Pelodiscus sinensis: one gene and its partners. The protein of the gene in region 1 purifies or fractionates together with the protein of each later gene. This does not show direct contact. Links are inferred from orthologs where the notes say so. Each region holds a gene or a part of one and is shown on either strand. Other genes may lie near its edges.

Evidence for each region. Proteins that work in one complex are often made in the same cells at the same time.
Region 2: the proteins of PNKP (region 1) and XRCC4 purify together in Homo sapiens (co-immunoprecipitation; 5 studies listed by BioGRID and IntAct, counting the BioPlex papers as one, with this or other methods). This does not show direct contact. The link is inferred for Pelodiscus sinensis from reciprocal best matches to the Homo sapiens genes PNKP and XRCC4.
Region 3: the proteins of PNKP (region 1) and LIG3 purify together in Homo sapiens (co-immunoprecipitation; 5 studies listed by BioGRID and IntAct, with this or other methods). This does not show direct contact. The link is inferred for Pelodiscus sinensis from reciprocal best matches to the Homo sapiens genes PNKP and LIG3.

Annotation. Positions count from the first base shown.
Region 1 is NW_027465870.1:138,810-146,863, reverse strand, and holds the start of PNKP (bifunctional polynucleotide phosphatase/kinase), read right to left. Parts: upstream 3,465-8,054; 5' UTR 3,444-3,464; coding exon 3,224-3,443; intron 3,036-3,223; coding exon 2,989-3,035; intron 2,662-2,988; coding exon 2,251-2,661; intron 1,904-2,250; coding exon 1,824-1,903; intron 1,484-1,823; coding exon 1,426-1,483; intron 1,349-1,425; coding exon 1,241-1,348; intron 1,109-1,240; coding exon 1,037-1,108; intron 949-1,036; coding exon 900-948; intron 78-899; coding exon 7-77; intron 1-6. UniProt on the Homo sapiens protein: Plays a key role in the repair of DNA damage, functioning as part of both the non-homologous end-joining (NHEJ) and base excision repair (BER) pathways.
Region 2 is NC_134716.1:79,415,908-79,423,509, forward strand, and holds the start of XRCC4 (DNA repair protein XRCC4), read right to left. Parts: upstream 3,497-7,602; 5' UTR 3,350-3,496; intron 1-3,349. Other genes in the region: TMEM167A (protein kish-A), read left to right, coding at 3,634-3,636.
Region 3 is NC_134731.1:17,267,583-17,275,138, reverse strand, and holds the start of LIG3 (DNA ligase 3), read left to right. Parts: upstream 1-4,060; 5' UTR 4,061-4,382; coding exon 4,383-4,848; intron 4,849-7,077; coding exon 7,078-7,221; intron 7,222-7,556. UniProt on the Homo sapiens protein: Isoform 3 functions as a heterodimer with DNA-repair protein XRCC1 in the nucleus and can correct defective DNA strand-break repair and sister chromatid exchange following treatment with ionizing radiation and alkylating agents.

The DNA of each region.
Region 1 (8,054 bases):
GGGTACCAGACGGTCGCTGCAGGAGAAATCCTTTTTCTTGTGCCCAGGGGCCCAGTTCGGGGGCCGCCCAGCCGCATCTGAAAGAACAAGGGGGGGGGGGGTTAGAGGCAAAGCACCCCCCAGAGAGAAGAGTGTGTGTGTGTGTGTGTGTGGGGGGGGGGGTAATCAGTGTTGTACATGAAGATGGGGTATGCCTCAGTTTCCCCTGTGCAGCGTAACAGGCTGGCAGGCGGGGGGGGGGGGGGGTAATCAGTGTTGTACATGAAGATGGGGTATGCCTCAGTTTCCCCTGTGCAGCGTAACAGGCTGGCAGGCGGGGGGGGGGTTAATCAGTGTTGTACATGAAGATGGGGTATGCCTCAGTTTCCCCTGTGCAGCGTAACAGGCTGGCAGGCGAGGGGGGGGGGTTAATCAGTGTTGTACATGAAGATGGGGTATGCCTCAGTTTCCCCTGTGCAGCGTAACAGGCTGGCAGGCGAGGGGGGGGGGGTTAATCAGTGTTGTACATGAAGATGGGGTATGCCTCAGTTTCCCCTGTGCAGCGTAACAGGCTGGCAGGCGGGGGGGGGGGGTAATCAGTGTTGTACATGAAGATGGGGTATGCCTCAGTTTCCCCTGTGCAGCGTAACAGGCTGGCAGGCGGGGGGGGGGGTAATCAGTGTTGTACATGAAGATGGGGTATGCCTCAGTTTCCCCTGTGCAGCGTAACAGGCTGGCAGGCGGGGGGGGGGGAGGGAGTGACCCCACCCAGCAGCAAGAAGCATCCCCAGAGCCTGAGGGTATCGCACCCATGAGGGGCCTGCAAAGTGGTGGGAACCAGGCTGGACCCCAAGGGAGAGCGGCCTCTGGCCACGGAGCCCCCTCCCTCCGCGGAGCCACACCCCCTTCTGCCCGCTCACCTCCCACGTAGAGACTGTTCTTCAGCGTCACTGCCACGGCGCCGTTCTCCTGGGGGGTGGGAGGGGTCAGACATGGGGGGAGGAGCTGGCCAAGGCCCCGCCTCCTCCCTCTGCTCGCCCCGCCCCCAACCTGGTACCTTCTCACATAGATGCTCCCACATGCCCAGCAGGGGTTTGCGGTAGAGCCCAGAGCCAGTCGCCACCAACACCTGGGGGGCAGAACGCGGGGGGGGGGGGGGTCACTCCTGGGACAGGCATGGGCATCCCCACAACAGGAGGCACCTCCTGAGACGGGGGCTCTAAGTAGGGCCAGGGACACCTCCCCCCCCCAGCTCCCCTACCTGCATGGGAACCCCCAGTTGCTCCAACACGGCCTCTGCCTTGGCCTTGAAGGCCTCAGGGCGCAGGCGGCCCTTGCTGATCCCCAGCTGGTTGGTGAAGATCACAATCTGGAGGGGGAAGATACATGAGGTCAGGGACCGGGGGGCGGGACAGGGCAGGGATGGGGGGGGGGGGGAGAACAAACCTTATATCCCTCACTCTGTAGCTTCCTCAGCTTCTTGGCAACCTCGGGGTACAAAATCCTGAGAATGAAACACGGGTTACTTCCAAAACAGCCCCCCGATTCCCCGCCCGCACCCCCTGCCCCCCAGCCCTGCCGGCGCCCCTCCCTCCCCACCCGCAGCCCCTGCCCCCCAGCCCTGCCGGCGCCCCTCCCTCCCCACCCGCAGCCCCTGCCCCCCAGCCCTACCAGCGCCCCTCCCTCCCCACCCGCAGCCCCTGCCCCCCAGCCCTGCCAGCGCCCCTCCCTCCCCACCCGCAGCCCCTGCCCCCCATGCCTGGGCTCCCCCCGCCCTGCAGCCGCCATGCTGTTGGAGGTCCCCACTCTTGACCCCTGCTAACCGGCCCGGGCTCTGTGCTCACCTCCAATCATCAGGGCTTGTGGCAAAAACCTTCCCAGACTTGGTCGTGATGATGGTTCCATCCAGGTCAAACCCAGCAACCTATGGAAGCGAGGCACCCCCCTGGTAGAGCAATGGATTCATCCACCCCCATCACATCAATGGTCCCACCCAGCGCCTCTGCCCCGCCAAAGAACAGTACGTGGATCCACCCCCCCAGCAATGGATCCATCCACCACCCGTCCTCACAGCCATGGACCCACCTGCCTCCCCCACTACAGCAATGGACCAATCTGCTTCCCCCCCCCCATCAGAATAAATGGACCCTTCCAGTGCCCACACTCAATAGACACCCCTCCCCATCAGACCCATGGAACCTCCCCACTCTGGGCCCAGCTGCCCCCCCTTCCCCCCCAGCAGGGCAGGCAGTTCCCCAGGCTAACTCCTACCTTGGTGCTGGGCACCACCCCCTGCTTGGTGAAGACCAGCAGCTTGCCATGCTCGTGCCAGGAGTCCCTGGGGTGAGGGGGCTGCTCCGAGGCCTCCCCCTGGGGCGGAGCTGGGGGCCTGGCCTTTGCCTGCTCCGCGCTGGCTGCCGTCTCCTGCAGCTGGCGCAGCTTTGCGACCACGGCAGGGTCCTCTTCTTCCTCTCCCTCCTCCTCGGTGGAGCTGGAGGTCTTTGGCCTCTTAGAGGCTGGCCCCTCGCCACCCCCGGCCAGGCTCCGGCGGGGGGCGGGCAGGAAGTGCAGCGTGTAGGGGTAGCGCCCGTTGACCAGCCACAGCGTCTGCCCCTCCTGCAGCGTGCTGCTGTCACCGGGCTGCAGCTGCAGCTCCTCCACCGATGTGGGGTTCACGCCCCGCTGCAAAACAGGGGGACTGAGCGCAGGAACAGCCCCCCCCTTTGCCGGGCAATGGCCCCTCCTCTTTTCCATCAGTGTGCGGAATACGTTCTGTTCCACGCACCGAGGTGCGTGCAGAGGGGCACCACCAGGAGAAGGCACTTTGCTACCAGCTAGGCGGTGCCCGAATCTCTCTTGGGCAGCTGCCCAAGCACCAAGCTTACAGGAAACGCTGCCTCGGGGGCTGTACCGCAGAACCGGGGGACGGGGCCCCATATAACCAGTCCTCGCGCCGCTCCCCAGGGCTTGGAGCCCCATATAACCGCCCGCCACCAACCTGCCCCTCACCTGGGTGACTCTCACAGCCTGGTGCTTGTAGTCAGCCAGTAACTCCACTGCAAGAGAGGGGGGGGGATATGAGTGAATGGAAAACTGGAACCCCCCCAATCCGCACACTCGGATGCCTCCCCTTCAATCCCCCCCCCCCTCCACAGCCAGGGACCTAGATAGGGCCCTATCCTGGCACAGGGCCTTGAGCCTGGACTGAGGGGGGGGGGGCGGCTTGCAGAGCCCCGGTACCCACCTTGCTTCCGGGAGCATTTCTTATCCGCCACGCGGGTGCGAGGCCCCCTGCCCAGCACCACGGGGACCCCGTCGGGCAGGGCCACGGGGTCGTGCTGCCCATCCTGGCTCACCAGCAAGCACTCCATGGCGCGGCCCTGGGCACGGGACACGCGGGGCAGGTCAGGGGCCAATGCCACCCTGAGCCCCCCCTCCCCCGGGCCGTGCCCTGAGCCCCCCATTGCCCCCCCCAGGCTCCGAGCCCCCCCATCGCCCCCCCAGGCCGTGCCCTGAGCCCCCCATTGCCCCCCACCCCCCCAGGCCCCGAGCCCCCCCATCGCCCCCCCAGGCCGTGCCCTGAGCCCCCCATTGCCCCCCACCCCCCCCCCAGGCCCCGAGCCCCCCCATCGCCCCCCCATGCCGTGCCCTGAGCCCCCCATTGCCCCCCCCAGGCCGTGCCCTGAGCCCCCCATTGCCCCCTACCCCCCCAGGCCCCGAGCCCCCCCCATCGCCCCCCCAGGCCCTGAGCCCCCCCATTTCTCCCCCCGCCCGGGCCGTGCCTTGAGCCCCCCCCCATCGCCCCCCGGTGTCCCCCCCTTTCCCGCCCCCCGGAAGTGGGCTCGCAGGCACGTGGGGGGCCGGACCCCGTTTCCGGGGGCACCTCGGCAGGGGGAGGGGCCGGTGCGGGGCCCCGGGCCGGTCACTGCGTCAAAGACACGCCGGGAACTTCCGCGGGAGGCGGCACTTCCGGCGGGGGAGCGGCCGCCCGGCGCCTTGCGCGCGGGTTCCGGGGAACTTTGGGTCCTAGGCGGGGCCGGGGGCGGGGCCGTCTCGCCACGTGACCCCCCCCCCCACCACCACCTGGCCCGGGCCCCATTGACTGAGGATAGAGCCCTGTGGGGCCTCGGGGGGGGGGGGTTAGTCTCAGGTTTGGGGGTTGCGGGTCGAAGGGGTCGGAGGGTGCAGGTTTGGGGGTGCAGTTTGGGGGGCTGGGAGGTTCTGGGTTTGGGGGTTGCGGGTCGAAGGGGGTGGGGATCGGAGGGTGCAGGTTTGGGGGTGCAGTTTGGGGGGCTGGGAGGTTCTGGGTTTGGGGGTTGCGGGTCGAAGGGGGTGGGGGTCGGAGGGTGCAGGTTTGGGGGTGCAGTTTGGGGGGCTGGGAGGTTCTGGGTTTGGGGGTTGCGGGTCGAAGGGGGTGGGGGTCGGAGGGTGCAGGTTTGGGGGTGCAGTTTGGGGGGCTGGGAGGTTCTGGGTTTGGGGGTTGCGGGTCGAAGGGGGTGGGGATCAGAGGGTGCAGGCTTCGCATTCCAGGTTTTGGGGTGCCATTCAGGGGACTCTGACTTGGCTGAGCAGGTATTGGGGGTTGCAGCTCGGAGAGCTGGATGTTTTTGGGTTGCAATACTGCGGAGACCCACTGGCTCCTCCCTGGCATTTTACCTAGTGAGGTGCAGTGAGCTGGGAGGGCAACACAGTGCAGCCTCCCGCCTCCAGGGTGAGTAGGAGGTGGCGGGTGATGTAGCCCCTGGTACTACCCGTCAAGGGGGCAGAGCAGGAGCAGGGCTTGGGGAAGGGGCTTGGGGGGCAAGGAGCCCCCCTAGGGATAGCCCTGGATGTGCTGAACCCCGTGGACAGAGCATCCGGCAGTGAGTGACCGGGGCACAGTAGAAATAAGGGGGACTCGGAAGAGCCAGGCGCGCTAAAGGCCAGTGAGGGGCGGTTCTAGGACGCAGAGGGGCCTACGGCTTAACCCCAAAGCATGTGGGTCCCCGAGAAGGGTGACATCCCAAGGGACATGGAGCCAGAGGGTAACCCCCAGGAGGGGCCGTGACCTCTCAGAGGCTGGCCCACTGAAGGGGTTCTCCCTGGGAATCGTGGGGAGCAGAGGGGGGCGCCCATGGAGCTGAGGGCGCAACATGACCCCCCGGTTTAGGGGCGGGTCTAGGGGTGCACTATCGAGGGGGGTGGCTTGGGGGGTCGTGGGTCGGGAGGCAGGTCTAGGGGTGCCAGCTGGTGTCAGTCCTAGAGACACTTCCCCCCTCCCATGTGTATTCAGACTCCTGGGTTCTGGCCTCATGGCTTGGGGGGAGGGGGAGAACCTGTCTCCTAAGCTGCTCTGTTGTGTGGCGAGTGGAGCCCTGTCGGGAGAGGGGACCACCAATCCCCTGCCCCATTCAACCTGCACTGGGGCCCCTTCCCCACATCCAGCACTTCTCCCTCCCTGGGCCCCAGGCTCCTCCACAGCCCCTTGGTGCAGCCCCTGCATCCCTCCACGGAGTGCCGTGCATCCCACTGCTGACACCACTATGCCGAGGTGTCGGGATCCCCCGACACTGCAGCCCCGAACAGACTCCGCCAGCTGGTAGAATGGGGGAGGGGGGTTATTGCTTCTCCAGGATACAGCACAGCCCAGCCGTGATGTGGCTACAGGAGTCCGCGGAGCCAGGATGCCTCAGCCCCCTTGAGATGGGGTCCCTAGGCCCCTCGATTCCAGCCCCCCCCTTCATGGTTCCAGCCCAAGACTGACCCTTCCCCCAACACTCACTTCCTTAGTTCCCTGGCTGCCCCAACTGGTCTGACCGGTTGGGTCTTTGTCTACCTGACTTAGGCAGCCCCCCTGCTGGGCCGTGCTCACAGGCAGGGGCCAGTAGAGGTCCCCCCCCAGCCCACAGCCCAGGCACAGCAGCCAGCAAGGTCCTGACACCACATCACCACGCGTGGGGGAGTCAGTGGGAATCGCACCTCCCAGCACAGGGGGACCCCGGGATACAGAGCAGACAGCCCCCCCCCCCACTGCGCCACACCCCGCATTGGGACAAAGTGGGGATTTTTGTAGGATTTTAGCTGGATAGTGTCCGTGCCTCAGTTTCCCTGTGCACTGAGTGTGTAATGAGGGGGCGGGGGAGGGTTTGCTGTTGCACAGGACCAGGGGTGACCTCACGTAGCAGCAGGGACCCCGAAACTCCAGCCTGCAGTGGGGGACCCAGTGACCGAGAGGCCCAGCCTAGCTCAGGTGGCACAGCCAGGTCTGGCCAGTGTGAGGCCAGAGGGAAGAGAGCCCCCCCCTCGCCCCCGCACTCTGCCCAGTTGGTCCCAGTAGGGTGGGGGCGGGCACAGGAGGGAGGAGGAGGAGGTGAATCGGAGAAGGGCCCAGGGACCTAGTTACCAGGTCAGACAAAGCGGGGGGAGCTCTGCTAGAAGCCATGGGGGGGGGGGGGCGGAGGCTGGGCTGTGGGAGGGGAGGGGAGGGCTGCAGGACAGAGGGAGCCGCGCTGGGCCAAGGGGGCCAGGCCCAGGGCTGGGGGAGGTTCCTGCACTGGGGCCAGACGCCCACTGACCCCCCTGCCTGACCTGCCGGGCGCGGGGCTCCAGGGCCAGAGCCAGGGGTCCCTGAGGGGCAGGCAGAGCCAGGCCTGCAGGGGCTGAGAACGGGGGGGGGGGTGCCAGGAGGGGCTGCCCCCCCGGAGGAGCCCCAAGAAGGGGCTGTCGCACTGAAGGGGGCCCCCCCAAGGACTGTTCAGGTCACAACCAGTGAGCCCCAACTCAGGCCCCCCCAGCCCCAGCCTGCCCCCCAGCGCCCCCCCCCGGCCCGGCTCTCACTTCCACAAGGATCAGTTTTTATTAATAAAACAACAAATTCAGGTAACATGAAGTAAGACGTTCAGACACCCCCCCCCCCCCCCCCAAAATCTGTAGCATCCAGGCATCGTGATTCACACAGCAGGGAGCTCTTGGGCTGCAGCCCTCAAGGACAGTCCATGGGGCCCGGGCGCCGGGGTCGCAGCCGGAGGGTGGGGTGAGTCCGTGGGGCCCGGGCGCCGGGGTCGCAGCCGGAGGGTGGGGTGAGTCCATGGGGCCCGGGCGCCGGGGTCGCAGCCGGAGGGTGGGGTGAGTCCGTGGGGCCCGGGCCCCGGGGTCGCAGCCGGAGGGTGGGGTGAGTCCGTGGGGCCCGGGCCCCCGAGGTCGCAGCCAGAGGGTGGGGTGAGTCCGTGGGGCCCGGGCCCCCGAGGTCGCAGCCGGAGGGTGGGGTGAGTCCGTGGGGCCCGGGCCCCCGAGGTCGCAGCCAGAGGGTGGGGTGAGTCCGTGGGGCCCGGGCCCCCGAGGTCGCAGCCGGAGGGTGGGGTGAGTCCGTGGGGCCCGGGCCCCCGAGGTCGCAGCCGGAGGGTGGGGTGAGTCCGTGGGGCCCGGGCCCCCGAGGTCGCAGCCGGAGGGTGGGGTGAGTCCGTGGGGCCCGGGCCCTGAGGTCGCAGCCGGAGGGTGGGGTGAGTCCGTGGGGCCCGGGCCCCCGAGGTCGCAGCCGGAGGGTGGGGTGAGTCCGTGGGGCCCGGGCACCTGGGATCGCAGCCGGAGGGTGGGGTGAGTCCGTGGGGCCCGGGCGCCCGGGGTCGCAGCCGGAGGGTGGGGTGAGTCCGTGGGGCCCGGGCCCCCGAGGTCGCAGCCGGAGGGTGGGGTGAGTCTGTGGGGCCCGGGCACCTGGGATCGCAGCCGGAGGGTGGGGTGAGTCCGTGGGGCCCGGGCGCCCGGGGTCGCAGCCGGAGGGTGGGGTGAGTCCGTGGGGCCCGGGCGCCCGGGGTCGCAGCCGGAGGGTGGGGTGAGTCCGTGGGGCCCGGGCCCCCGAGGTCGCAGCCAGAGGGTGGGGTGAGTCCGTGGGGCCCGGGCCCCCGAGGTCGCAGCCGGAGGGTGGGGTGAGTCCGTGGGGCCCGGGCCCCCGAGGTCGCAGCCAGAGGGTGGGGTGAGTCCGTGGGGCCCGGGCCCCCGAGGTCGCAGCCGGAGGGTGGGGTGAGTCCGTGGGGCCCGGGCCCCCGAGGTCGCAGCCGGAGGGTGGGGTGAGTCCGTGGGGCCCGGGCCCCCGAGGTCGC
Region 2 (7,602 bases), on another chromosome or scaffold:
GCTAAGTTGTTCTCTGGAAAAAAAAATTACACTTGTAAGGGCAACATAGATGTTTAAATGTAAAAGCTGCTCAATGTGTTTGTTTCACTGGCCCAAAAATATTTGATATAAACAGAAGACTGACCAGATTTGCTACAGAAGTAAGTTTTTATAAGTGTATCCTTTATTGTAGTGTTATTTCCTGACTTCATCATGCAACATTCATAGGAAATCAACTGATATCCCTTTGTCTCTTCCAGGCAAGGTGGAATTATTCTCCCTCTTTTTCCAGTGATAGAAGTAGTATCCATCACAAAATTCTGCAATGCATATAGACTTCTGTCCTCTTTACAATGGCCCCACCAATAAGTCCAACACTTGACGTATGAACCTTAAAAAGAGAGTCCCCAAATCAAATCTATTGCTCTTGAACTGGTACCTTTAAAGTTAAACACCATCAAACTTGGAAATGGGAAAATGACATTCAGCTATTCAGTAACCTTTCAGAAAACAGATCAGTGGTGACAGTCCTTAGCAGGGATGTTAAATTTAGATTAATTAACTAAACTGAACAATTGATGGGATTTCCACTGACTATTCAATTAGTCTATAAGGGTGCCTTTGCACTGAAGCAAGAGCCCTATCAGGCTCTTGCTACAGTTCAAAAGCAGAAGCCCCATGCTCTCTGCGGGGCTTCTGCTTTTGAAATTTCAAAAGTAGAATAGCAGCAGAAGTGCGGCAAGCAGAGACTGCTTCAGTCCCCGCTCGTGGCATTTCCTGTTGTGCCGCTATCTCCCCTGCCCACCACAGAGACGGTGCTAGGGGGAACCAGCTTTTAAGCCGGCTCTCCCTAGCACCAGCTCCTGCTCCTCTCCCTCTTGCTGCCTCTATCTGATAGAGGCAGCGAGGGGGGAGGAGGGGGAGAAGCGACTAGTCGCATGACTAGTCAACTATCCGCTAAGCTTCTGATTATTGGATAGTTGACTAATCTCTTACATCTCTAGTCCTTAGCACAAAAATAATAGTCACACTCTTCCACTGAAATTTTACATTCTCACATATAGTGTTGTCTTACTGAAATTTCTCAGAAGATCAAAGCTAACTGCTCACAAAATAACAAGGCTACATCTATTTCACCACAGTGATCCCACAAATTAAATCCTATCTACTGCAAAGACTATGGAGGTAGAGATATAGACCTCCTTCAAAATCAGCTGTCAGATGAAAGCATCACTATGGATTTCATAGCTCTAACAGGCCCCCTGATGCATGTAATGACTTCAGTGAGCCAATAACCTAAATCACCACACTGGACAATTAAAAAACTACAAAGGTTTCAATTAATTTGTGCCTTTTAGTAGCTAAGTATGAGAAAAGGGGTTATAGCTCTGACACATAAGTATTACCTTTATTCAAGCATTTCCAACTTAGCCACACCAAGTCTGTCACATAAATTTAAAGCTCCCACCAAGGTAGCATTTCCATAAAGGAAAGGAGGATAATGAAGTGAATTAGCACACAGGAGCTGCAATAAAATCTAAGCTGAGGAGACTGATAGATGAATCTGCTTCTTTTTAAGTCTACTCTGTTGTCTTATATGCTTCCAGGAGTAAACAGTGAGGATCATTCTGAATTTACCTGCAAAACCAAACCAATTGTTAAGATGTTCTTTTTTTGAAATGGGGTGCTTCATTTAAAACAATGTTTTTTTTATTTGATTCATCATACTTCACTAAATAAGATATTACCGCATCACTGCAGTTCCACATTTCTAATAGATGCTTAGAATGAAATGATTAAACTTTACGCACTTTACACAACAAGGAGTAACCAAACACTGGAAAATGTTTTAAGTATCATGGCATGGTGCCAAAATGGGATAAACTAACTCTTTAAAGATTACCTTGACTGCTATAGGATAACAAGCCGTTCTATCATGAGTTACAGAACAAGTCAAGGGAAAAATCAGATGTGCCCTTTAAAACAGAAATGCTCACAAAAATGTATTAGAGCTACCACTGTCATTTCAACTAGACAGGTGGGGTTTTAATCACAATATCCAATTACAGTTTTTATATTTCATATCCATAGTTTGGTCACTTAGAAGGGAAGTGACAAGATGAGCAATGATAGGCCCTTACATGTAAGACAAAAATATATTTATTAAGTGAATGGGAGGTGGTGAGATATTTCTACAGATGACAAATATTCCATAAAAAGGGTAGTTTACAGAAGTTAAATGAAATGGAATACTGTTTGCCAGTAAAGACCTGCATCTATCTGTACAGATGAATCTGATACCATCTAAATGTTTTGTTAGTCTTTAAAGTGCTACCAGACTATTTGTTGTTTACATTTTTCCTCTTACAGACTAACACAGCTACCCCTCTGAAGCATATGAATCTTTGTTTGCCAACTTTAAAAACAACATGCCCAGAAATCAACAGCAAGAATTCTTCATTTACAGGTACTCAGTGACAATCAAAAGGGGAGATTCATTTTTCATCCAGCACTTTTTATCCTAAGAGGGCAAAAGGAGGCCAAGTTTCATTCATATATACAAAGCGTACTCATAGGGTCAATGTAAAAGTAGGCATATGACCCAATGAAGTAAGCAAGACTACCAACCAACTAGCTATGCCCTGTTGGGGGGGAGGGGGGGAGTGCAGGGTGGAGAGCTAACACAGAATTTAGAAACCTAATACAGCAGCTTCTAAAAATTGCATTGCCTTTATAGTCGTAGTTTCAGTCTATGTAGACATTATTTATGTTGACAGTTCTCCCATTGCTGTAGTAGTAAAGCCACCTTCCAGACTGGCAAAGTAATTATTTCATCAACCTCGCACTGTGTACACCACGGATCAGGTTGGCCTGGCAACGTTATTGAAGGATGTGGATATTTCACAGCACTGAAGGATGCCCATGCAAGTTCCCAGTATAGACAAGTCCAGAAGGGCTTGAAAAATTACACAGGCGCCTGCTAGAGGTCAGTGTACGGAGGAAGGGGAGGCGGGGAAGGGAAGCAGAGAGACCCAGCCGCTGCCCCGCGACCCAAGCACTGCTTCTGGGATTGCCCCCATGCTACTGCTCCTATACCCGCGGAGACGGGGCGAGAAGGGCGAGGCCTCGGACGTTCCCCTCCGTTTCTGCTCCCACCAACGGAAATTTCCCCGCCCCTATCTCTGGTGGAGGGGAAGGAGGCCACCGCCCCACCCGACAGCCCTTGGCAGGCTCCTGCCCCTTTCCCGCCTCAGTTACACGACCCCGCCCGCCCCAGCAAGGCGGCAGCGCGGACGCAGGGAGTCTGCTGCCAGGGCACAGGCAAGAGGAGGCCCGCGCCTTGTGGGAGCGCCCGACAGCCCCCCTGTACCTCGCTCCCACTGTGCGATCCCGTTTCCGCCTTCCCGCGGTGGGGGCGGGGGAGTGTGAGTTGCTGCAGCCAATCAAAGCCGCCAGCTGCCGCGCGCCGGTACAGTTATGCACCCCCCCAGCCCTCTGGCCGCCGCCCCCAATCAGCACTCGCAGAGGCTCCGCTGACGCCTGTCAGTCACGAGCCGGCACTTCCCCGACCAACCAGAAGAAAATTAGGTAACGCCTCTTCCGGTTCTGCCCCCCTCGTTCCCGGAAGTGTGATGTGTCTAGAAGCGGGGAGCTATGGTAAGCGCGAAGGTGCCGGTTGTGCGGCGCTGAGCCCCTTCCCCTTCCCCCTCCTTTTCCCTGATCTGTGAGGGGCTCCGACCCCAGGAGCTCGCGGCTGGTTTGTGGCGCTTGCTCAGAGGCCCCCGCGCTCCTGGCCCCCCTGTTCCAGTAACCACGCTGGAGACTCAGTCTCGTGGTTGCCCTCCCCCCCCCCCCCATTATGCTTCATTTCGGTCACCAATGCCTGGCTTGCTGAGTGACGCCATCGCGCCTGTGACGTCATTCAGCGACCCAAATAGGTGAAGGGCGGGAGAACTCTCGCGAGCACGTGATGTGTAGCTGAGTATTCGGTTATACTCGCTAGTCTGCAGCAGGTAGATCTTGCCGCCCTTTCTTTTTTAAAGGGATAAATGTGCTTAAACGATATTTTCTGTTAGATTCTTGATAACACACGAGTAGTTGCTTTTTCTTGAAAATAATGTGGGTTTTAAGAGAACAATGCATAATATATATTCCTTAAAAGGCGGTTTAATGGTAATTTCGAAAGAAGGGTTTCCTTTTGAAATAATCACATCTAGACACCTTATTTTAAAAAAAAGCTATTTCAAAAAAGCAGCCTGATGCGATTATGCAAATGAAGCATGGGAAATTCAAATCCATGCTTCATTTGCAATTTTGCTCAGCTGCATTTGCATTCCTCTCTGGACAGAGGAATGCAGTGTAAACATACCCTAAGAGCCCAGTAAGCAGTGGAAGTGTTGGTAATGCTGCTACACAATATTTACCTCCTGTGGCTCTGCAAATTCTCTGGTTTGGCTCTAGTTAGGTTGCGGGCTGCCAGAATAGAGAGGTTCAGTCTATAGTTGCTTGTGTAAGCATTCTTTGCAAGATCTTTATGATGGCTGTGCCTTGTAGGCACAGGGTGTGTCAGACCAAAGCAGTTGTTGCCTGACTTGTTGAATGGTCTCTGAAAATACACTGACACTTTGGAGGATGAGCATAAGTGAAGTTTTCCCTTTTCAGCAGCAGCCTGGGAGAGCTATAGCTCTTTTGTACCTTTCTGACTTTTCTAATGTTGCTTTAATGGATTTGAGAATGTAGGATAATAGAAGGGGAAAAAATTGAAAACTCTGCCCTAAAATATAACTAACCATGTTGATCAAAGGGTCATTTAATTTATTAAATTTGGCTCTTAAGTGCAAAATGAGAGAGAAAACTGGAATCTAGAGATGATTATTTTTTCTGTAAAAGCAGAAGTCCAAGTAAGAACATGTTCTGCATAGAGCAAAGAAGGGATGCAACTGACTAGTCAACTAGTTGCTCCCTACCTCCCCCTGCTGCCTTTTTCAGAAAGAGGCAGCAAGGGTGGGAAGCAGGAGCCAGTGCTGAGGGGAACCAGTGAAGTACCATCTCCTGGGTGCAGCCTGCCTCTGCTGCCTCTCTCTGAGGCAGCAGGGGGTTAAGGGATGCTGCTGTGAAGTGCTGGACTCCTTCCTCCCCCCCCCCCCCCCCGACAGGGGCTGTTGCCGCCAAGCAACCCCTGTTCATGGCGGCCAGGGCTAGCAGCGGGCAGGGTCTGCTCAAGCAGCATCCCCCGTCCACAGCCAGCTGGTGCCAGAGCAGTCTCTGTCCTCAGTGGCCTGAGGTGGGCCATATTTAACATTAGTGTGACAAGCATTGTCTCCCAAATGTTGGGAGTATTTCACTGTTGCAGTAAAAGATTTCCAAATCGTGAAGGTCCTGGAGCTTTTGCCCTGTGCAGCCTTTCCCTACTGCTTATGTGTGTAGAGAGCTGTATATGATATATACATTAAGGGTTCAGGAGTGTATTTACTTGCCGAAGCCCCCTAGCTCCTATTGTCTTTTAAGTTGCAGAGCCAAAGTTAGGTTTGGTCCTTCACCCAGTGCGAGCTGGGATTGAGCTGGGCTGCCTATCGCCTAATTGAGTAGTAAGTAAAAATTATATTTGCTCTTCGATTAAATACCTGCCTCTCATCATTCCGAGTCACAATCACTTAAATTGTACAATTCTATCAAATTTTGCTGCAAAACTGTACAGCTAGAAACTAAGCTGTCAGTAACAGCCAGTAATTAAGTTTTTAACTTTTCTGATTGTGAGAGGCAAAAACATTCCAGATATGATTTGAGGGTAAACTTAATTGTTGTCTTACTGAAACTGCAGATAGCTTAAAACAGCAGTTGTGTGAATTATGAACTCTCCTATCCATCTCAATATGATAATATGACTTTACAGTCAAATAATTGCCTTTTAAATGCCAATCTTAATTATTTAATGTTTTAACTGAAGCAGCCAGTTAATGTGATTGATCGTGGTTATTGACTGCAGTGGTGAATGTAGGCATGGATAGTCTGTTGACTTAGGTTGCTGTTGTGGGAATCTTGGGCCTCAAACTAAGGATGTGAAAGATTAACTGGTAACCGTCACTCTTAACAGGAAAGGCTTCAGTTAACTGGTAATTGGTGGGGGCTGGAGTATTTTACCCACCTGGTACTTCTATGTTGCAACCATATATTGTTAATAATAAAAACCTTGTGAACTGGAAACCTCTACATTTGGATATAGTGTAATCAGTGAGATATCAGAATAACATCAGGCTTCAGTTTCCCAGCTATGGCAGACTGATCCTTGGTGCTTTTGGGATCAGGGTAATGCAAATACTTTGAGCCACCTTTGTGTTCCCCTGATCCCCAGGGCTGCTAGTTGCCCTTCTGGCCCTCAGCCTGTTTTAGAGGATCCTCGAGCCTGCTTTAAATTACACATGGTGCTTACACAGGGCTAGTCCAAGAATTATCAAAGTACAGCGCAGTCTGGCCAGATCCCCAGCTGTGTATAGGTGTTCCCTTATTGGAGGGAACTCCCTAACCAGCTGTTGAATCTGTTTTGTGATAGGGATATAAGTGAGTAGTCAAGTTGGGTAGTTGACTACTCGCTTCCCTCCGCCCTTGCTGTCTCACCTTGCTGCCTCTGTATAAGAGGCAGCAAGGCTGGGGGAAATGGGGGCTGTGGGGAGCTAGTTCCCCCCAGAACTGTCTCTGCAGTGTCGCCTGCCCCTGCCTCTATCAGAGGCAGGGTGGTGGAGGGGGCAATAGGGGAGGCTACCACGAAGTAGCCTCTGCCCACAGTGGCCCCGGCTGCTCTGGCAGCAGCTCCTGTCCATGGCCAGTCTGGACTACCGCAAACGGGCTGCTGGACCCCGTGCAAGCTGAGACCAAGCAGTCCTAGCTTGCACCAGTTTGGGACTACTGTGCCTCTGCACTTTAAATGTAGTAAGAGCTGCTGGACTCTTACTACATTTAAAATGCAGAGGTGCAGCAGTCCCAGAGCCAGCGCGAGCTGGGACTGCTCAGTTCCAGCTTGCACTGGGTCTGGGAGCCACCCACGTTGCAGCTCTGCAAAGTGGCTCCCCTTCTTGATTAAACGTGTACAGGCAGTCCCCGGGTTACGTACAAGATAGGGACTGTAGGTTTGTTCTTAAGTTGAATCTGTATGTAAGTCGGAACTGGCATCCAGATTCAGCCGCTGAATCTGGACACCAGTTCTGACTTACATACAGATTCAACTTAAGAACCCCAGGCGTCCCCAAGTCAGCTGCTGCTGAAACTGATCAGCAGCTGATTCCAGGAAGCCCGGGGCGGAGCAATTCTGCCTCGGGCTTCCTGTAGTCAGCCGCTGGTCAGTTTCAGCAGCGGCTAATTTGGGGACGCCTGGGGCAGAGCAGCTCAGGTGCTGCTGGGTTGGTCCAGTAGTGCGGCTGCTCCTTGGCGCTACTGGAGCAACCCAGCAGCACCCCAGCTGCTCTGCCCCAGGTGTCCTGATTCAGCCACTGCTGAAACTGATCAGCAGCGGCTGAATCAGGACTCCTGGGGCAGAGTAGCTGGGGTGCTGCCAGGTTGGTCCAGTAGCGCCAAGGAGCGGTGCTGTGGGACCAACCGGCAGCGCCCCACCTGCTCTACCACAGGCCC
Region 3 (7,556 bases), on another chromosome or scaffold:
CGGGGAGAAGTAGATACGTTTGAGAGCAGAAATAGGGTCCAGAGTGACTTAGACAAATTGGAGGTTTGGGCCACAAGAAATCTGATGAGGTTCAACAAGGACAAATGCAGAGTCCTGCACTTGGGATGGAAGAATCCCAAGCATAGTTACAAGCTGGGGACCAACCAGTTAAGTAGTAGTTCTGCAGAAGAGGACTTTGGGGTTACAGTGGATGAGATGCTGGATATGAGTCAACAGTGTGCCCTTGTAGCCAAGTTCTGGCCCCCCACTACAAAAAGGATGTGGACGCATTGGAGAAGGTCCAGCGGAGGGCAACCAAAATGATTAGAGGGCTGGAGCATATGACTTATGAGGAGAGGCTGAGGGAGTTGGGTCTGTTTAGTCTACAGAAGCGAAGAGTGAGGGGGGATTTGATAGCAGCCTTCAACTTCCTGAAGGGAGGTTTCAAAGAGGCTGGAGAAAGGCTGTTCACAGTAGTGACAGATGGCAGAACAAGGAGCAATGGTCTCAAGTTGTGGTGGGAAAGGTCCAGGTTGGATATTAGGAAAAACTATTTCACTAGGAAGGTAGTAAAGCACTGGAATGGGTTACCTAGGGAAGTAGTGGAGTCTCCATCCCTAGAGGTGTTTAAGTCTCAGCTTGACAAAGCCCTGGCAGGGTTAATTTAGTTGGGATTGGTCCTGCCTAGAGCAGGGGGCTGGACTCGATGGCCTCCTGAGGTCTCTTCCAGCTCTATGGCTCTATGATTCTATGATAAGGTCATGGTTGATAATCAGCTGAACATGAGCTCCCAGTTTGATGCTGTAGCCAAAAGAGCTAATGAGATTCTGGGATGCATACATAGGGGCATCTCAAGAAAGAAGGGAGAGGTTATTTCAACCTCTGTATTTGGCACTGGTGCTGCAAAACCATGCCCGGTGCCGGTGCCCACAATTCAAGATGAAAGTTGATAAATTGGAGAGGGCTGGGTTTAGAGAAAAGCCACAAGAGCGATTAAAGGTTTAGAAAATCTGCTTTATGCTGATAGACTCAAAGAGCTGAATCTGTTTAGCTTAACAAAGAAACGGCTGAAGTGTGACTTGATCACAGTCTGTAAGTACCTATGTGGGGAATATAGATTTGATAATGGGGCTTTTCAGTCTAGTAGAGAAAGGTCTAATATGAACCAGTGGCTGGAGGCTGAAGGTAGACAAAATCAGATATGAAATAAGGCATTTTTTTCCCAGTAAGAATAATTAGCTGTTAGAACAATTTACCAAGTATCATGGTAGAGTCTCATTACTGACCCTTTTTTTAAATCAGGATTCTATAGGATTTGCTCTGGGAATTATTTTGGGGCAAGTCTTTGGCCTGTACTAGGAGACCAGACTCAATGATCACAATGGACTGCTCTGGGCTGGAATCTATGTGTAGTCACCTTACTAAAGGTGCTTCTGCTTATTTTCTGGGAAGACCCTGTGTGTGGCAATCTAACCTCACAGACTACAATTCCCATGAGCCCTGGGGAAAAACAGGAAGGAAGGACTCTTGATGGGGAGAGCTGAGTCTCTCCATGTGTGTGGAGAAAGACTCAGCAGTCTGTGGACTCCCTGGCTGTGTCTACATTAGCATCCCTTTTCCGGAAAAGGGTGCCAATGAGACAAGTCGGAATTGCAAATGCCGCAGGGGATTTAAATATCCCCTGCAGCATTTGCATGAACATGGCTGCCGCTTTTTTCCGGCTCGGGGCTTTGCCAGAGAAAAGCGCCAGTCTAGACGGGATCTTTCGGAAAATAAAGCGTTTTCTGGAAGATCCCTTATTCCTCTTAAAATCAGGAATAAGGGATCTTCCAGAAAAGGCTTTATTTTCCGAAAGATCTCGTCTAGACTGGCGCTTTTTTCTGGCAAAGCCCCGAGCCAGAAAAAAGCGGCAGCCATGTTCATGCAAATGCCGCGGGGGATATTTAAATCCCCCGCGGCATTTGCAATGCCGACTTGTCTCATTGGCACCCTTTTCCGGAAAAGGGATGCTAATGTAGGCACAGCCCCTCTGTTTTTGGACCAGAAAGGGAGCCAGGGAGTTTGATACAGTTCAGGAGCTGTTATGTTGCAGTTACAGACTGGGACAGCAAGCCTTTGGAACTGGGATCTAGCAGGCTGCTTTTGATTGCCCAAGAGAGGAGGTCCTTTGGCTGTACTTGTGTCTAGCAGCTACTCTGCATCCAGCACATAAAAGGAGACTGTGAGTAACTGGGCATCTTTGGGAAAATGCTGCCTGGGACAGACCTCAGAGATTCAGACTAACTCTGGGTTCAAAGAGAAGGAGAGAGGCCAACCCAGTGAACCAGAGCTGCGGCATAGTTTGGACCCACATACACACTACCTACAGAGAATCTCCATTATAGCTGCAGTTCTTCAAGCGCGCCCATGCAAGCAAGAATTTGGGACTCTGAGTCCAGGGGTGTGCACACTGGGGTGGGATAAATATTGGTAGCTAGATAAGTTCATTTTACTTTTGTGTACTTTGTTAATTAATGTTATTCACTGTTAATTTGTTAAATCCTGTTTCTTTAAGTTAAGTAAAGGTTGTTCATTCTAATGCAATCTATTAGATGTATATTATTTATGATTTGTAATTGTTGTTCGGGAGTTAGATCCAGTTTATTGCTGGAATAAGTTTATTCCTAGAGGCTTCCAAGGCACACCCGTGTGTACAGGGCCAGCCAGGTGGAGGCACCACCATTGTACATTCTTTATGAGCAAGGGACAGCAGCAAGGGGGTGGAGAGGTTTTCCCCAACCAAACAACATCACCACTGGGGTACTCAGGATCTCCTTTTATGTCAAGCCCATCAGGCCCTGTGCTGTGACCTGCTCCCAAGTATCCCAGGGAGGAAAAAGGGGTTACATATGAATGAGGGACTAGGGCTTCTGGTGAAGAGGGGGAGGTTTCATGCTATAAGGAAGATGGGGTCTGTGCTGAGGGGCCAGGTGTATGATGCTGAGGGGGGGTCTCTATGGGGGCAGGGTCTGTGCTGAGGGGGGGGTCTCTATGGGGGCAGGGTCTGTGGTGAGGGGCCAGGTGTATGATGCTGAGGGGGGGTCTCTATGGGGGCAGGGTCTGTGGTGAGGGGCCAGGTGTATGATGCTGAGGGGGGGGTCTCTATGGGGGCAGGGTCTGTGGTGAGGGGCCAGGTGTATGATGCTGAGGGGGGGTCTCTATGGGGGCAGGGTCTGGGGGCAGGGTCTGTGGTGAGGGAGGGGTTTGCTGTGAGGGGCAGGGTCTGTGGTGAGGGAGGGGTTTGCTGTGAGGGGCAGGGACTGTGCTGAGGGGAGGGGTTTGCTGTGAGGGGCAGGGTCTGTGCTGAGGGGAGGGGTTTGCTGTGAGGGGCAGGGACTGTGCTGAGGGGAGGGGTTTGCTGTGAGGGGCAGGGTCTGTGCTGAGGGGAGGGGTTTGCTGTGAGGGGCAGGGACTGTGCTGAGGGGAGGGGTTTGCTGTGAGGGGCAGGGTCTGTGCTGAGGGGAGGGGTTTGCTGTGAGGGGCAGTGTCTGTGCTGAGGGGAGGGGTTTGCTGTGAGGGGCAGGGTCTGTGCTGAGGGGAGGGGTTTGCTGTGAGGGGCAGGGTCTGTGCTGAGGGGAGGGGTTTGCTGTGAGGGGCAGGGACTGTGCTGAGGGGAGGGGTTTGCTGTGAGGGGCAGGGTCTGTGCTGAGGGAGGGGTTTGCTGTGAGGGGCAGGGTCTGTGCTGAGGGGAGGGGTTTGCTGTGAGGGGCAGGGTCTGTGCTGAGGGGATGAGGTTACTTTCAAGGGAGGGGTTGTGAAGAGATGGGGGGTTGCCTGGAGGAGGCAGGGTCACTAGAGATGGGCGTGGTTGTTGTCAGGGTGACTAGGTGAGGGGCAGGGCTTGTTGGGAGGGGGTGGGCGTTGTTGTTAGGGGCGGGGCTTGTGGTGAGGGGAACGAGGTTAGCCTGGGTCTGTGGTGACAGGCGGGGCTCGTGAGGGGCGGGGTTTTCTCAGCGGGGTCTCTGGGAAGGCAGTTGCTGAGGGGCGGGGTCTCTGTTCCGTGCGAGGCGCGGCCCACCACGCTACGGGGCCCGAGGGGCGGGGCCCTGCTACCGGCCCAGCCGCCGTGGCTCACGAGCCCGTGCGCATGCGCCATATCCTAGGCCCCGCCCCGGCCGCGAGTCCCGGATTTAAAGGGGACGCGGCGCACGCGGCTTTGGCCTAGGCCGGTCGCTCTCCGAGCCCGCAGCGAGGACTCCCTTCCTTGCCCAGCCCTGCCCCCTCCCGCTGGCACAGCCGCGAGGCTCTGAGGGGCGCCCCCGGCCCGCCCCGCCCCTCCCCCGCGGTGTAACGCGGCTCTGAGGGCTCCGCGCTGGGCCTTGTCCCCGAGGGCCGCGCGCCGCATGCCCGCTGCCCTCCAGCGCCTCCTCCCGCCGGCCGCCCGGGCGCTGAGCCGACGGGCCGGGCTCTGCCTGCGCGCGGGCAGCGCGCTCCTGGGTCAGCCCCTTCCCGCCAGCCGCCACCGGGCTCTTCCCTCAGCCGCGCCCCTCTGGCCCCGCCGGCTCTGCGCGGCCCCCGCGGTCATGGCGGAGCAGAGGTTCTGCGTGGACTACGCCAAGCGCGGCACCGCCGGCTGCAGGAAGTGCAAGGAGAAGCTCCTGAAGGGCATGGTGCGCATCGGCAAGGTGGTGCCCAACCCCTTCTCGGAGTCGGGGGGCGACATGAAGGAGTGGTACCACGTCAAGTGCGTCTTCGAGAAACTAGAGCGGGCTCGGGCCACGACGAAGAAGATTGAGGACATCACGGACTTGGAGGGCTGGGAAATGCTCCAAGATGAAGAGAAACAGATGATAAGCCAGCACATCGCAGGTGAGACACTAGAGGGAGACCCACTGTGCCTTGCACCTTTATCAGCTGTAACAGTAGGAAATGTGGCGTCAGTGATTTCTACTCCATAGAGGCATTGCACACAGGGCATTGCAGTGGTTTGTGATGAGTGCAGTTGTCTTTTTCTCTGCATCCCAAAAACTGCTATGAGTCTTTCCCAGGCTATGTCTAGACTGCCAGCCTCTTTCGAAAGAGGCTTTTTCGGAAGTATCTTTCTAAAAAAACCTCTTTCGAAAAAGAGCGTCTAGACTGCAGCCAGTCCTTTCGAAAAAGCAAGCTGCTTTTTCGAAAGAAAGCACCCAGGCAGTCTGGATGCTCTCTTTCAAAAACGCCCTGTTTGCATTCAAGAACGCCTTTTTTCGAAAGAGCTCTTTCGAAAAAAGGCATTCTTCTTCGTGAAATTAGGTTTACCGCCGTCTAAAGAAAAGCCGCGTTCTTTCGATTTAATTTCGAAAGAACGCAGCTGTAGTCTGGACACAGCCCCAGTGAGTTGAGAGAACTTGTCTGTCCTTGAATGCAATGGGAAGGAACTGTAAGAAGGCATTGCAGGACTATCGGCATGCACATGATTTATTATTGTCGCTTCATGGAACAGCAAAGAATAGAGAGTCCCTGCCTGAAGTAGCTTAGCCTGCATCCTTACTGAAAACTAGGTGGAGGAATAGCTCAGTGGTTTGAGTATTGTGAGTTCACTACTTGAGGGGGCCATTTAGGGATCTGGGATAAATCTGTCAGGGATGGTACTTGGTCCTGCTGCGAAAGCAGGGGATTGGACTTGATGACCTCTCAGGTGTGTATCAGAGAACCCCTGACAAAAAATTATTGCCCACCCTTGGGCTAGATCCTGGGTGCTACTTTCACTCCCACTGGTAAAATATTTAAAATCTCCATACATTTTAAATATTTTACCAGCGGGAGTGAAAGTAGCACCCAGGATCTAGCCCAAGGGTGGGCAATAATTTTTTGTCAGGGGTTCTCTGATACACACCTGAGAGGTCATCATCAGAGAACCCCTGACAAAAAATTATTGCCCACCCTTGGGCTAGATCCTGGGTGCTACTTTCACTCCCGCTGGTAAAATATTTAAAATGTATGGAGATTTTAAATATTTTACCAGCGGGAGTGAAAGTAGCACCCAGGATCTAGCCCAAGGGTGGGCAATAATTTTTTTGTCAGGAGCCACTTCAGAAATGTCACACAGGAAGGGATGGGGCCAAGATACTTCCAAGTTCCCTGCCCCCAGACAATGATTGGTCTGGGGGTGAGGAACTGCCTTTGCTACCCCACATTGCCCCTAGGTAGCTCATGCCCCTGGCATGGGAGGAGACTTCCCACGTTCCCCTGCCCCTAGGCCTAATAGAGCCTGGGGGTGGGAGAGTACATGAAGCCTCCTCCGCTCTGCCCCCATCTTGCTTCAAAGCACCATTTGCTCCTGGCATGACAGGAGGAGGCTTTGCATGCTCCCCAGGCCCTCATTGGCCTGGGGACAGGAGAGCAGCAGGGCCTCCATCGGCCAGATCTGGCCTAAGGAGGCCCTTTTGCCCACCCCTGGTCTAGCCTATCCCCTCAGCTGGGCTAACTAAACCCAGGCTTAAAATAAGATCATGAGAGTGTTTTATGTGCAGATGGGAGGGGGCTAGAGGCAACATCTAAACCAATGCCTGAGTGAACTCTGCAATTAAGACATGCTCTCAGAATGCAAGCACTGGAAGGCTGGAGGGAGGAAGCCCTACTCTCTAATGAAACTTAAATACCAACAACGGTTCTGTGGCACCTTGGAGACTAACAAATATATAAATAGTATCGTGAACTTTCATGGGCACGACCCACTTCTTCAGGTGACATATCATGGAGCAAAGGGCATAGATTTTGAAATATAAAGCCGAAAAAGAGGGAAGAAATGGAGGTGAGAGGAAAAAACCCTATCAATTAGTGTCAAGGCTAATGGAGTAGGCTGTAAGTGCAAGTCACTAGGAGCCCTGGTCAGCTCTATTTTGCTGTTTGAGCTGGGGCTCATTACTGAGCTCCTAGTAGACATTTTACAAATAAAACTACCTATCCCCTCTCTCCGTGTGTTGGCTATTTGTAAGTTCTGACAAAAGTTGCTTATTTCAAAGTATTGTAAGTTACTTACCTGATTTTGTTGTTGAGGGTTTACAGGTTGTCTTAGATCACTTATGCAGATGCTTTACCTCTTACTGTGTTCCACAGAGGCTACTTCCAAGGCTGCAAACACACCTAAGAAAAAAGCAACAGTCCAAGCCAAGCTCTCCCCCAGTGGGCAGATAACCACTCCCAAGAAGGAGCTACCAGCTGCCCCCAATCCATCACCAAAGAAATTCTCTGGCTTCACAGGTGAGATATATTACACTGATGCTAGGGGAGCCCCCGTTCTTATAATAGCATCAGTGGAGTTTGAGTCAAACCTCAGGGTTGTGTCTAGACTGGCATGATTTTGCGCAAAAACTTTTAATGGAAAAGTTTTTCCATTAAAAGTATTTGCGCAAGAGAGCGTCTATTCTGGCATGTGCCTTTGTGCAAAAGATTTGCTTTTGCACAAAAGCATCCGTGCTAGTGTAGATGCTCTCTTGCGCAAAAAAGTTCCAATGGCCATTTTAGCCATCGGGCTTTCTTGCGCAAGAAATTAACGTTGCTGTCTACACTGGCCCTCTTGCGCAAGAATACTTGCA